Pelodiscus sinensis: one gene and its partner. The protein of the gene in region 1 interacts with the protein of each later gene in a biochemical or structural test. Links are inferred from orthologs where the notes say so. Each region holds a gene or a part of one and is shown in the gene's direction. Other genes may lie near its edges.

What was found.
Region 2: the proteins of EIF2AK2 (region 1) and PRKRA form a complex in vitro, tested with the Homo sapiens proteins (3 studies listed by BioGRID and IntAct, with this or other methods). The link is inferred for Pelodiscus sinensis from reciprocal best matches to the Homo sapiens genes EIF2AK2 and PRKRA.

The regions. Positions count from the first base shown.
Region 1 is NC_134713.1:137,314,041-137,321,706, reverse strand, and holds the start of EIF2AK2 (interferon-induced, double-stranded RNA-activated protein kinase), read left to right. Parts: upstream 1-4,665; 5' UTR 4,666-4,897; intron 4,898-5,466; exon of another isoform or gene 5,467-5,564; intron 5,565-7,666. Other genes in the region: sulfotransferase 6B1-like, read left to right, coding at 488-618.
Region 2 is NC_134717.1:46,432,258-46,439,197, reverse strand, and holds the start of PRKRA (interferon-inducible double-stranded RNA-dependent protein kinase activator A), read left to right. Parts: upstream 1-3,855; 5' UTR 3,856-3,916; coding exon 3,917-4,170; exon of another isoform or gene 4,171-4,195; intron 4,196-4,254; exon of another isoform or gene 4,255-4,702; intron 4,703-5,127; coding exon of another isoform or gene 5,128-5,208; exon of another isoform or gene 5,209-5,574; intron 5,575-6,701; coding exon 6,702-6,871; intron 6,872-6,940. Other genes in the region: PJVK (pejvakin), read right to left, coding at 5,128-5,208. UniProt on the Homo sapiens protein: Activates EIF2AK2/PKR in the absence of double-stranded RNA (dsRNA), leading to phosphorylation of EIF2S1/EFI2-alpha and inhibition of translation and induction of apoptosis.

The DNA.
Region 1 (7,666 bases):
TAGGCTGTGCAGCGACCCAGTGTTCCTCTGAAGCCTTCCAGCCCGTGATCATGCTGCTGGCTGCCTTCTGGTGAGTGGTGGCTGTCCACAGGTTGGGGAGAGTGGCTGGCCGTGGTTGCCCGCGGTGGGGATGGGTGTGGCCAGGGGATGGAGAGCCCACAAGCTGCACAGCTCGCAAGAAAAAGCAGCAAGTTGAAGCAGTAGAGCATTGCTTCTCTCTGGCAGCTGGCTGCATGGCTGTGCTGCCCCCTTCTCCTGAGTCCTCCCACCCCTGTAATGTTGCATTGCTGTTGGCTGCCATTTGGTGAGTGGCTGCTTCCCATGGGCATGGGGGAGAGCGGCTGGAGGATGGAGAGCCTGGGGTGGAGGACTGGTCAAGTGGCCAATGGACCCGGGTTCCCCCCCTCCACACACACCTTCAGGTGGATAAGTTTAATAAGGACCCTTCACCTGTGATGTTATAATTTATTTCATTGTTCATGTGCAGGTGGCATTGGAGATTGGAAGAACCTCTTTACTGAAGCTCAGAGCCAGAAAATGGATGCCAAATTTGAAGAGTGTTCAGCGGGAACTGAACTGGGAGCAAAGCTAAAATATGATAAATACTGCAAATACTAAATCTTAACTTCGTTCTGATGCTACATTATCACGTATTTCATTGCCTTTCACATTTGGGAATGCATAGATTCAAATGATTTAGACTTTCACAAATGAATTTGCAAAATAAAGAAATAATGAGAACTCAGTAAATAATGGGCCAAATTCTGCTATTAGGCCTATATAGACGTGACAGAAGCATTTAGCTGAATATGTAGAACATATGACTAGTATATCAAAGTTTCTGTGCCTATTTGAGATTTTTTTTTCTTAATCTGCCATTATTTCAAACTGAGCTCTGCTCTAGATCCAAACTTTCTGAATGCTCTGGGTGTTAAACACCTTGAACATTTTTTTGGATGATCAGCTTCAGTAGTTAATTTGGTCCTAAACACATCCTATGTTTTCTGTGGCCTTGTATGAAATTCCTTTAAGGTATGTCTACACAGCAGTGTTACTTTGGAATAACTGACGTTATTTTGAAATAACAAAGTGTGCATCTACACCGCAATCTGTTATTTTGAAATAATTTTGAGATGGAAGACTTCTTATTCTGAGTCCTGTAATCCTCATTTCACAAGGAGTAAGGGAAGTCAACAGAAAAGTGTTCTTCCTTTGACTTCCTGCTGTGTAGACAGAGCCAAAAGCCAAATTAAGCTATTTCGACTTCAGCTACGCAATTGACACAGCTGAAGTTGCGTATGTTAATTTGACTTTTGCCCTGCACTGTAGACATGCCCTTAGAGTTCATTGATTTGAGCTGATGGTCAGTATTCATCCTGGCAAAAGGTTAAGGCAGAGTGTCTTCGGGTTTTGTCTGGTGTTGTTTAATATGATTATTGCTGACAAAAAAGGGAGGTGAATGAGGTAGCAAAAGTTGCCAATTGAAGTAAGGTGTTGATGTTAGTCATGTTAGGAACATGAAGCGATCTCAACAAGCTAGAGAAAAAAACCTCTCCTTTCCCTGATGGTAGAATATAACTATGGAGTAATTTTTAAAAAGCTGTTGAAAGAAGGCCCTGGTCATACCTGACTGATGCTTCTGCAACTATAGAGACTGTTATGGAGTCACCTCATTCTGAAGAGGGCTCTGGGCACAATACTTTAGCTGGTAAGAGATGTAAATGGGAGAGGTCTGGGTATGAAAATAGTGTTGATATTCGATAAAAATAGTGAGTAGAAGTCCTATGTCAGAAGCACATCTAGTGGTGAAGGAAAAGGGGGAAAAACATTTCCAGCCATCTTTGAGGCTCTCTCTTATAGGAGTTCTAGGGATGCAGCAGCACCCACTGGCTGAATGTGGTTTACATCATATACAGGGTTTATGTTTTTTTTCATTGGTTTTCAGCACTCGCCCACGCTATACAAATTGTTAGAGAGTTACTGCTCTAATATCAAAGGGTCTCAGGAGTGTTACACAAATAAATTAGCAATAGCTTTAGGGGGCAGTCGAGTTAGTCTATAACTGGAAAAACATGCAATGTTTTGTCATCTCTGTGTGTTGGTACCAGTGATGTTTGCCTGTGTACTGCTACCCTCTGCTGGACAGAAACAGAACTACCATGTGTGACTACTGCTAAATCAAAAAACAAGACTATGTAGCACTTTAAAGACTAACAAGATCATTTATTAGGTGATGAGCTTTCGTGGGCCAGACCCACTTCCTCAGATCAAATAGTGGAAGAAAATTGTCACAATGGTTTATTAGGTGATGAGCTTTCGTGGGCCAGACCCACTTCCTCAGATCAAATAGTGGAAGAAAATTGTCACAATTGTGACAATTTTCTTCCACTATTTGATCTGAGGAAGTGGGTCTGGCCCACGAAAGCTCATCACCTAATAACCATCTTGTTAGTCTTTAAAGTGCTACATAGTTCGGTTTTTTGATTCAGCTACACCAGACTAACACGGCTACATTTCTATCACTGACTACTGCTAGTTTCTCAAATTCTAAAACTAAAATGTGTAGCAATGGACCAAACTTAGCATTCTGTCTCCTGGGAGTGGGGGCTGGGACTGCATGTCCTGGCTGGTGGCTTCTCCCATGGACTGGGGCTGCAGTCCCCAGCTGGTTGCAACCTTCAGCTTGTCTGGGGAGATGCTGGGGTTCCACAGGATGGTCCCAGCCTCCGGCTCCCCCCTACCTCCATGCTGTCTGGGGGGAAGGCTGGCCTCAGCTTCCAGCTGTCCCCCCTCACACACCCTCCAATGGGGGGGAGGACTAGGCTGCAGTCTCCTCAAAGGAGGGGACTGAGCCACTGTTTTCTGCTTCTCCTTGGGAGAGGATGTCTCTTCTGGGGGGTCATGTTAGGTTAAGTTTAAGAGTTATTTCGAAAGAAGGGTTTTCTTTAAAAATAACTGCGTCTAGACAGCGTTTCTTTTTTCAAAATAGGGTATTTTGAAATAGTGCCCGGACGCAATTATGCAAATGAAGCGTGGGAAATTCAAATCCACACTTCATTTGTAATTTCATTCATCTGCATTTGCATTCCTCTCTCGAAAGAGGAATGCAGTGTAGACATACCCTACTCAAGCCTAGGAGGGAGTGTGACTTGATGCCACCCTTTGCCTGGAGAAGCAGGACAAAGGCTGGAAGTGGGGCCAGCTGCAGGGCTGATAGAGGCTGTTGAGTGCAAAAGTTGGACTTGCTGGCTTGGGGTGCAGAGATGGGGGTGAGGGCCCTTGCTGGCTTGGGATGCAGAGATGGGATGAGGGACTCTGAGCACCCTGTCCCCAAGATGGATTGTACTGACTGCTTCTGGTTTCCGTGCTGACAAGTCTGTTCTATGCTGTATCTCTGTCAACTAATAAACCTTTCGTTCTGTGGGCTGGCTGAATCACATCTGACTGTGGATGAGGGGGAGCAGGGCCCCAATGACTTTCCTCTCCTCAGTGACATTTGCATACCAAATTTGGTGGCCCTAGCTCTTGTCATTTAGGAGTTCTTGAACAAATTGACTCACAGATGGACGGACTCACAAACAGACTCATAAAAGCTCTAACATATATAGATAGGCAGGTTTAATCTTAAGGGACCCTCTTCCTACACACATACTATGAATGGGAGATATAGGAGAGTGTTGCTCTTGGCTGCTGTGCCCATCCATTTTGAACACATCTTCTCGTCACCATTTTTACAGACGTTAGCGAACTTTCTCATCCTTCATTCCTTAATGTAAGTATGGCAACTCTAATATTTGATTAACTTCGCTGACATTTGTCAAACTAGGCTTACCCAGCATTTCCTGGGTCTTTCAGGGCAGAAGGCTGGCAGTGCGGGGAGTGTGGCAATTGGGGAAGTGCCCTGAGTATGTGGGGGGCTCAGGGCAGGAAGGCAGAGGTGAGGGGTGCAGGAGTCAGGGTGGGGGCTTGAGGAGGAGTTCAGGCAGAGGGTTTGGGATGCGTGAGGTGCCAGAGTGAGGGTGAGGCGGACAGAGGTGGGGATGCAGGAATCAGGGCATGGGGTTGGGAGAAGGGTGAGCTGAGGGGAGTAGGAGGGCTCAGGGCAGAAGAATGCAGGTGGCTGGCTTCTCCCCAGGGGGGCGGGCTGGGCTGGCAGGGACAGTACATCGTGCCGCCAACCTGTCCATGGGACAGGAGGGGGCTGCACACCCCGTCCTCCTGCTTCTCTGCAGACTAGCGGGGGGGAGGGGAGCGCACCCCATCCATCGACTTGTCCTGGGTGCGTGAGGGGGAGGCACCATCCTGCTTGCTGGTTTATTCCTGGGGGCTGGGAGAGGAGGCAGCAGGTTTTCGCCCTATCTCCTTCCCCAGCCTGGGTAGCCCGCAGGGGACTTTCCCCCTCTCCTCTGCTCCTTCTGGGGTGGGGGTGGAGGGAGAGCCGGCGGCGGGAGTGGGGGTGGGAGTGGGGCTTGCGGGCGCTCAGAAGAAAAAGGCTAAAGGAAGAAGGGCGGGCGCTGGGCCCGGAGAGAAGCGGAGTCAGAGCAGGGAGAAGCAGGCGGCTGAATTTGGGGGCTTGAGGGGGGGAACCGAGGAGCCCTGGGCCCGGCTGCTCCGTGAAAGGGGAAGGCGGGGCGAGGCTGGGCTCGGGCTGCCTAGGAGGGGCCGCCCCAGCCCGCCTCCCCTGCTGGCCCGCGGGGCTCCAGCCACCCGAGGAGCAGCCGGGCCCGCGGGCGGCGGCGCCTGCTTTTGGTTTCGATTCCGGCGCGGAGCCGGAGTGGGAGGAGCGAGGCGGCCCGGGGAAGCCGCCGCGAGGAAACGAAACAGACGGGGCTGAGCTGCCGCCACTTCCAGTCCCTTGCCGCAGTGAGCGCGGGCCGGCCGGGGTGCTGCGCGGCTGGTGAGTGGCCGGGCCGGCGGGAGGGCTCGAGGCGGTGCAAGCTCAGAGGGAGGCCCCGAGGGTGGGGTGGGGGCGAGTGACCCTCAGCCGGGCAGGCTCCTGCAAAGGGTCGAGGGGTGTGTGTGTCGATGACCTTGGTGTTGGCCCGCGCCGCTGTGCTGGTCCCTGCGGACCCAGACTGGAGAGGGAGGCTGGGGGCAGGGGTAGGAGGCGGGGATGAGGTAGGGTGCGCTAGTGCTGGGTCTTTTCCTCTTCTTCCCAGAGCCCCCTCTGGGCTCTAGGACGCAGAGTGTGAATTGGAACAGGCTGGAGCTTGACCCACACAGCCAGGGTTGGGGTGATCACGATCTGGGCTTCTGGTCCTGTTCTGTATTGTATATATGGATATGCTAAACCTGGCATTGCTATCTCTGGAAACTGAAAAAAGCCAAAGAGCGGACTTAGCATTATACTTGGCATCCCAGACTGCAGCTGTGTGACAACATGCCCAGGAAATAGGAGCAGTGCTGGGGACTACCCGGAAGTCACCTGTCAAGGGAAGGTGCTAGTGACTTCTGTTCCCCTTACAGGTGCAAAGTATAAGTCCCAGGACAGTGGCCAGCAGCCCTCTGAGTAGAAGTGAATGCAGTTATTGCTTTGGAAGTGACAAACTGCGGGGAAAGGAGAGGTATGCTTACAATTCATATCTCTGAAATACAGGCCAATAGGTACCCATTCACAACAATGGATTTGAAGTCCTGCAGTTTTGAAAAGTTTATAATATTGAAAAAGTCATTTCTACATCCAAGGGAGTACAGGGAGGGAGAAAACAATTTGGATATATAGTTACTAGAAGACTTCCCGGATGTTGCCTGAGTCTTTCAGGGCAGGGGGTTGGCAGTGTGGGCCTGGTAGGGGCTTTTGCCCTCTCGGGGGCGGAAGCCTGACGGGGTCTTTTGCCCTGTCCCCAACCCCTCCTGGGGCTCAAAGGGGGAGCTCAGCAGGGGCTTTTGCCCAGTTTCTCCCTGGGCACCAGGGAGAGCCTGGATGGGGGCTTTTGCCCTGCTCCCAATCTCTCTGGAGCTATCGAGGGGGGCTGGCTGCGGCAGTCTCCCACTTACCTGGAGCAGTGGCAGGCAAGATGATGAGCCCTGTCACCAGCTAGCCACTCATAGCAATGGTACAGCTGCTTGCAGTGATCATTCTACAATATGGCTCTCCCCTGTGCTCTATATCAGAGGAAGCAGTTTGGGGGAGCAGATGGAAGCTGGTGCTCATGGAGAGCCAGCTTTTCAGAGCCGCACCTCCCCTCCCCACAGGTAAACATGTAACCACTGAAAAATTTCAGCAGTTACATGTTTACAAAAGAATGTACTTTTTATCATTCCTACTACTGACACATTATTCAAAATTTGCTCACTCTATATTTTGATTACAAATATTTGCATTGTAAAATAAACAAAATAAACTGTATTTTTAGTTCACTTTATACAAGTACGGTAATGCGATCCCTACAGTCAAAACCAAAACAATGTAAAACTTAAAGTCTACAGGTCCACTCAGTCCTACTTATTGTTCATCCAATCACTAAGACTAACTTGTTTGTTTACATTTATGGGAGATAATGCTGCTCTCTTCTTATTTACAATGTCACCTGAAAGTGAGAAAAGGCATTCCTATGGCACTGTTGTAGCTGGTATTGCAAAATGCCATATATGCTAAACATTTGTATCCCCCTTCGTGCTTCTGACACAGTTCCTGAGGACATGCTTCCATGCTGACAATGGGTTTTGCTTGATAATGCTCCAAAGCACTGTGGACTGACACACGTTCATTTTTGTCATCAGAGTCAGAAGCTGTCAGCAGAAGATTGGTTTTATTTTTTGGTGATTTAGGTGCTGAAGTTTCAGAATAAAAATGTTGCTTTTTTAAAGACTTTAGACCACATGTTTCACACCTTGTCCCACTCAGATTTTGGAAGGCACTTCAGATTCTTAAACTTTGATTCGACTATTGTAGCCATCTTTTAATATCTCATATTGGTTCCTTCTTTGGCATGACATACAATTCTCCCCCCAAGGAGTTCAGTCACAAATTTAATGAATGCATTTTTTTTAAACAAGAGTCATCAGCAGGAATGGTGGTCAAAGAATGAAGAAGCATAAGAATGTTTTAGCAAGATCCACAAGACACCAGAGGAACAAGGGATGCACTCCACCCAGGTGCTTCACCAGAATGGACTCTGGTTCTGTAGCCTTGTGGTTCTGTATTCCCAGGACTACGTATTCTCTGCTGCTTTAAAAAATTCACATACCTCAAGCTGGGACAATGCTGGTTACGTATGCTATGTATCTCACGAACTGTGTAAACCTATTCTTATAACTTCCCATAATCTAAGCTTGACCCCAGATGTATAGTGCTTTCCTTCTTAATTAGTGTGATGTGAACTTTATTTGAAACAGTAGCTTTAATGAAATTTTTCTGTCTGGCATGTAAATAGCTTGCAACACTGGCTACTAAAGTATCAGAGAAATGTGTGTACTCACTTTCAAGTGACATTGTAAACCCTAAGTGGATAGCATTATTGCCAGTGAATGTAAACAGATTAGCTTGTTTTACCAATTAGCTCAGGAAGAGTGGGATTGAGAGAACCTACAAGTCCAAAAGTTTTACATTGTTTTGTTTGAGTGCACTTATACAATAAAACACACTGTACACTTTTTATTTGTTGTTTTCCTGGCTTTTTGTTTGCTACTTTACTTAAAAAAACCCCCTTATAATATATTTCCC
Region 2 (6,940 bases), on another chromosome or scaffold:
CTTTTACAGCTTCCCTTATGTCAACTAATCCTGCACAATGAATAATACATTAACTGTGTAAACTGATACAAAGATGTTTGCTTGATCTTTAGTAGTATAAGGCCATTATCTGAAAGTAAGATGATTGCTTTAGAATCAAAAGACTGCTACATTTTGCAATCTTTTTTGTTGTGATTGCAAAGACAGTGATATATTTGCTGTTTAATGTGCCTTTTATCCAGCTGGATCCCAAAGTGCATTACCAATGGGAATTCACCTGAACAGGCCACCTAAGCTACATAATTGTGTAAAGACTTAACACTTTTTTAAGGGAAGGAGACTTCTTTCAGTAGTGGCTGCATAATAGCTCTGTTAAAGACCTCAGCCTGGAATAAATACATTTCAGATTGTGAGCGCCTTTCTAAACTTTTTTAGCTGATGAGTAAATAGGACTTTGTCCAAATTTACTGTATGCTAGTGTCTCCATAGGGTGAGGGAAGTAGGGATTTTGCTGTGTTTTGTGGTTTCACTTCTGAAAGGGTTTACTTTGCTGATGTTTACTCTTTTCTGGCAGGTTGGTGTATTAGGGTCATGAGGGCTTGAAATTTATGTTTTCTGCATCAGAAAGGACATTATTGGGTTTTATTGCCTACATGATCAGGTGTGAATTTTGTTCTGTGAGTTTGATGGGAAAGGGGGAGAGGAACATAGCAGTATGTTACTTCATGGATGGTGGTGTGTGTCTGTGGAGAGGAGAAGGAAGGTTGATTGATCTTGTCAGCATTTGGTAGGAGTGACATATCAAGGTACAATCCCGACTAATGATTGGCTATGTCATCCCTTTCCTATAACCTGGGATGCCCTTTACAATGTAGACTCCAAACTGGACTGGTCACCACCAGTATGTAAATCACTCCCAGCTATGTCTGAATGAGTGCTGCAGATAGACAGTCAAGCTTTGGCTCTTACTGATTTAGTTTTGCTGTGGAGCATGATGGGCAACCTAGTTCTATGTGTGGTCCACAATACATTTTGTTTACCACTGCCTAAGTGTGGAGTTACCAGATTCCACTAGTTTCCGTTCATGTAAGCTTTTTCCTAACAATATTAAAGTGACATGTATGTAAAGCAAAAGCACATGAAGTGAGGTGTGTGCTGAATGCATACACATTGACTGTGACAGCCATATGTTCCCTCTGCATCCAAAGTGCTATTATGGTTCAAACTGCACACCCACAAATTCTAGGTACAGAAGAGCAGTTAGCAAAACTACCCTACTCCAGGAAACCATCATGGTTACAACAATCTTGCAACCCATTCACTTGTCTAGGTCACCAAGCACTGCTGCAGGGTGACAGCACATACAGTCTCAGTCCTAGATTTTCCTCCAGAAATGTATGTACTGTACTGCACAGCCCTCTCTTGAGCAGTACAAATATACTGAGTCATTATTCCTTTAAGGCAGGGGTCTCCAAACTTTTCAGCCCGAGGGCCGCATTAACTATCAAACAGCAGTTCGGGGGCCGACTACACACTTGAGGTCCAAATAAAAAACAATCAAAACATGGATGTTGTTTTTAATTATTTATTTAATATTATTTTATTCAGTTATTATTTAATAACACATTGATACACTACACATGAACACCTGTATTAGTGTGAATGGTGAAATTGTTTCCTGGATGCCAAAATAGCACACATTTCTGGCTTTAGATTTGTTGTCCCTAACATCAACAGTGACCTGAGATTATCATCGGACAAGTTTGTTCTCAAATTGTTCTTCACATATTTCAGACGTGGGGAACTCAGCTGTTGCTTCAGCCATGAAGACCTTGCACTGCTGAAAGTGCGTCAAGTTGTTGGCCTGTACTTGTTCCAAAAACAAATTAGCAGCATGCCAGGCACATGCTATGGGGCACTGCATTAATGCACTGGGGAAAACTCACCCTTCAGGCCAGCGAGAAGAAATCCAGAGAGTGAGAAAAATACTTAAAAGGAGCAAGGGACAAATGAAGCATTAAAAATTAACATTTTTCCTCACCTAGAAGCTGATTTTAGGCACTAGATCTGGTGTTTTAGGAGAGATCTGAAAGAATTTAATATCGATTTAAATCAGGGGTCACCTTTTTAAAGTTCCCGCGGGGGTTCACGTTCCCCCGCACGTCGCCGGGCGGGCGTTACCACCACCGCCCATCCTGCCCCCTGATTGGCCGGCTGCCCTGTCAGTCTGGGCGGGGGAATGCTGCCCGTGCTAACCCCCGCCCCTGCGCCGTTTGCCGCCGCGCGGCCGCTTGTCATTGGAGCGGCCCGCTTCTCCTGCCCCGGCGCGGCGTGAGTACACGCCGCACACCCCTGACAGGGCCCCCCCCCACCGCGGCAAGAAGGGCCCGTTCGGCGGCGCCCCAGGGACGGTCTCCACGGGCCGGATGAGAGGGCCTCGCGGGCCGCATCCGGCCCGCGGGCCGTAGTTTGGAGACCCCTGCTTTAAGGGACTAATATGCACACAACTGAGTTACCTGGACACTTCAGCTTGAACACACTGGATTTGATACAAAACCTTTATTGACTAAAAAGAGAGAGCTTTCAAGTGAATACAAGTAATGAGCCATAGAAATAAAAAAAAATGGTTACAAGAAAAATAAAGGTAAAGTGCTAACATAACTACATTTGATTCAAAGGAAAAGTTTTCTTACCACATGCTTTCAGTCTTAGATCAGGTCACAGACCCTGGCCTATTGTATACAATAGCTGATGCTTTTGTTTCCTTAGGTGCACAGTGGCTACACTCCCAGGCCCGAGCTCTCTCCTCATGTCCTCTTCCCGGACTCCTGCACTCCAGGGCTGGCCCACAACATTTTGGCACATGAAGCGGGTAGCTCAAAAGACACCCCCATGTAGGGTTGCCAGGTGTCCGCTATTCTACCAATCTGGTTTTTGTGTCCTCTGTCTGGTAAAAAAAATTCAGAAAATACTAGACATGTGCAATGCCCGATATTTTGTTTTTCTGGCCGGGTGCTGGACGGAAGCCTGGCAGGGGCAGAGGAGTGGCTGGGAGGCAGAGCTGCGATTGGGGCTGGAAGCCTGTGGTAGCGTGCAAAAACCTGGTGGGGACGGGGGTAGCTGAGACTCCCACACACTCCCGCGGCCTAGCTTCTACACTCAACCAGAGGGAGTCCCAGGCTGGGAAGCGGGGCTCTGATTGGTGCTGGGAGCCTTTGTTTGCGTGCAGAAACCAGGCGGGGGGTGGGGAGAGTGGCTGGGAGGCGGGGGTGCAATTGGCCCTGGGAGCCCTCAGCTGAATGCCTCTGAGGAGGAGTGATGTCTTGAGGAGAAGCTCTGTCCCTGCTCCTGAGCGCTGTTCAAGCACGTTGTAGCGCTGTAGTCCAGGAGAGAAGCCCACAGGTGCTTTGTAGTTGAGTTTAGGTGCCTTTCGTGGGTGCTCAGCCAAAACTGACTGGGGTGGAATTTCTGCTTCTTTCCACTGGGACACCCAATTTTTAGCTGGTGCTGTTCGGTATTTTTTAGGAGACCATCTGGTAACCCTACCCCCAGGTCCCCTCCCTTGGGCCAGCAGCAGACACAATTTTCTACACTCTGGGTCCTAGTGGTGCCCCCCCCCCCGGCACCTGCCGCAGCCACCACAGTTCGCCTCATGGTAAGGCCAGCCCTGCTACAGCCCCTCCACACTCCTGCCCTGAGCCCCTGCCCCTCACACCTCTCAAGCCCTGGCGCTGACTCCCTGCACCCCGGTATCCCCCTCCCCGCACTCCAGCCCACACTTCAGTGTCTTACAGGTACTGTCTTATTACAACCCTCCCGCGCCTGCCCGGACCGCTCCCCCCAGGGCGGGCTGCAATGGCTGCAAGAAATGGGGGCTCCCTTGGCGGGGGCGGCTTGTGCATCACTCCCCGGCCAGCCTGGGCCCACAGGCTGCGTAATGCGGGGAGCTGGCCCCTCACGGAGCGCTCAGCGCAATGGGCGGGGGGGCCGCAGCGGCAGGCGGGGGAGGCCCCCCCCCGCACCACGCGCCGACGCGGCCCCGCCCACAGCACAGGCCGCGGCGAGGCGCTCGGCGGGCGCGGTGGCGGTAGCGGAGGTGGAGGCGGCCGGCCCGGCCATGTCTCAGGAGACCTTCCCGTTCCCGGCCGCGACCCAGCAGAGCCCGGCGGCGGCGCAGGACCAGGCCCGCAGGTCAGGGCGCAGTGGGGCATTGTGGGTAATTAGGGGCCCTTCTCCCGGTGCGCGGGCGGCCGCGGCCACCAACTGCTGGTGGGGGGGGAGAGGCTGGAGCGAGCCCCCGCCCTGTTACCACTGGGGCTGGCCCGGGCCGTCACCTCGCAGCGGGCGGGGAAAGCGCTGCTCCCCTCCGCCCGGGAGAGCGGCTCACCGGCTGCGCCCCGCCCTCCGGCCTGGTCTCCCAGAGTCTCGGCGGCCGGCGCGGGGCCTCGGCCTGGGTCTTAGCCCCGACTCCCGGGGGCTGCCAGTGTAGCTGCCGCCGGTGCGCCTCTGGCCCTGCCCCTCAGCAACCCGGAGCCCCTTTGCGGATCCCTCCCCGCTCTCTGCGGAGCTGACGCCTGTAGCCGTTGTGAACAGGGCTCAGCGTCCCTGCCCAGGGGGAACGTGAGAGCTGAGACAGGGCCCGGGGCTTCCACGCACCTTGTTCAGGGCAAAGCAGCAGGGGCAGACTGATCGGTGCAGTGACAGTCAATCACCCCCCTGGCAAGTAAGAGCCTGATCCTCCAAAGCACTTGGTGCCCCGCAGCCCAGCTTCGCAAACGGAGCCATAGGACAATTTGACAAAAGCGCAGGAGCTTGTGTCATGATACTTCCAACAGCAACATAGTTAGTTGCTTAGTTTAATTAATACAGGGAGGGGAAAAGGAAATCTAGTACATGTTCCAAGCCAGACAAAGATAATGTTTGTATGCCATGATCCTACAAACTCACCTTTGACTTTAAGCATGTGAGTAGCCCCACCTAAAACACCAGTTCCTGAAATAGCTAACACGGCTATATTTCTATCACTGAAATAGCTAGGTGTGTGTTGGAGAGAAGCTATCCAGACACTGTTTACTTTTGTACCTGCTGAGTTTGAGAGAGATTGAATTTGCACACATTATAGAACTGTTGCCTTCAGATATTTCTCACCAATGATTGTTTCTTTGCTGTGGAGAAGTAGTGAATACTTTCTGTATCTGTATCACTTGTCCATGTTGTAACTGAAGCCATTCCCAGTTGTCATGGTGATCAGAAGAAAGCAACAATAGCTTGGAATGTTATTTGGAAAATGTATTCTTTCCCCCATTCCTATCAACCTGTGGAAAAGTTGCCTCTAAAGCAGCATGCAGCTTCCACCAGACTTGAAAAACATATTCTTTGTCCCCATTCCCCTTAATTGCCAGTACAGGCTTTCAGTATCAGATAATTTTTCTTTTATCAGTTAGTGAGATCAGTTTGATTTTTTTTCATAACTTAAGTGGAGGATGACAAGTTGTCTTGAAACACAGATGATAAGACTTCTCTTCATGAGGAGGTGATTCAACATCAGTGCAATTCAGTAGCAGCCAAAACTAACTCAGGGCGCGTCTACACAGCACCTTTAGCTGGAAATAAGTTATGCAATTTCTGCTACGCAAATTGCAGAGCTTATTTCGAGTGTATTTCTAAATTAATTGTGTTGTTACTGCCTGAGCTACCTGTTTTTCCTCTAATTATGGAAGTTCTCAAATGGAGAGTCATGCAACCTCATGGAGTTGCAAGTATGTTATGTGGGGGGTTGCAAATACATATCTCCCAGCTAGCTAACATGTCTGCTGTGAAAAGTGATATTAACATGCAACTATTACTTTAAAATAGTGTAAAATATAAAAAAGTCTTAATTTTTAAGTGTGTGTGTTTTGGGGGGAGGGGAAGAGTCACACTGAGGCTTGCTATGTGAAAGGATTGCCAATAAATACATAAAATTTGACAACCATTGCAATCTTTTCCCATTCTCTGCTGCAGCTATAATACTCTTCCTTTCTTACTGTTTTAAGGGCAACATACCCACCTCTAGAGCCTCTTATTGGGCATTTTGAAACAAGGTTAAGCTCAGACTTCTGCCTAGCCATTGAAAGTTTATTTTTACAGTAGCTAGAGCTGGTAAAAAAAGATGCAAAAGTGGCAAGGAGTCCTGTGGCACCTTGTAGACTAACTGAAGTATTGGAGCATAAGCTTTTGTGGGCAAAGACCCACTTCGTCAGATGCATGTAGTGGAAATTTCCAGAGGTTACATGCATCTGACGAAGTGGGTCTTTGCCCACGAAAGCTTATGCTCCAACACTTCAGTTAGTCTATAAGGTGCCACAGGACTCCTCGCCACTTTTGCAGGTTCAGACTAACACGGCTACCCCTCTGATTAAAAAAAAGATGGAAATTTGAGAGATAATATTGGCCTAGTGAGAAGGGTGCTGCATTGTGTTCTAAGCATGCTATACCATGGGCTCTTGGATAAGTACTATGCATCCCTATATCTTTGTCTCCCCACCACAACGTAATGATGCCTTCCCCTTTTTTGTAAAATGCTTGTAGATCTGTGGATGAAAAGTACCATAGGAGCCAATATTAAAATTTCTTGAAAGTGTTGGTAACAGTAGTGAAACAGGGAACAGCGATTCCCATTTTTTAAAAATCAGCTCTAAATACAGATTTCCCTTCTAAAATGATAAATCTTTTCTTTGTAGCTTGGAGGAAATGATTGTTGCAAAACCAGGGAAAACACCAATTGAGTTGTTACATGAATATGGCACGAAGTGTGGTATCACTCCTGAGTACGAGTTTGAAAAGGCTGAAGGACAAGTACATCTTCCAAGTTTCACCTTTAAAGTTACAGTAGGTGACATAACGGGCACAGGTCTGTAATGTTGCTATACTTTGGTATGGTTGTTGGTAGTGGTTTCAGGAAAAAAATCTTTCTTCCGCT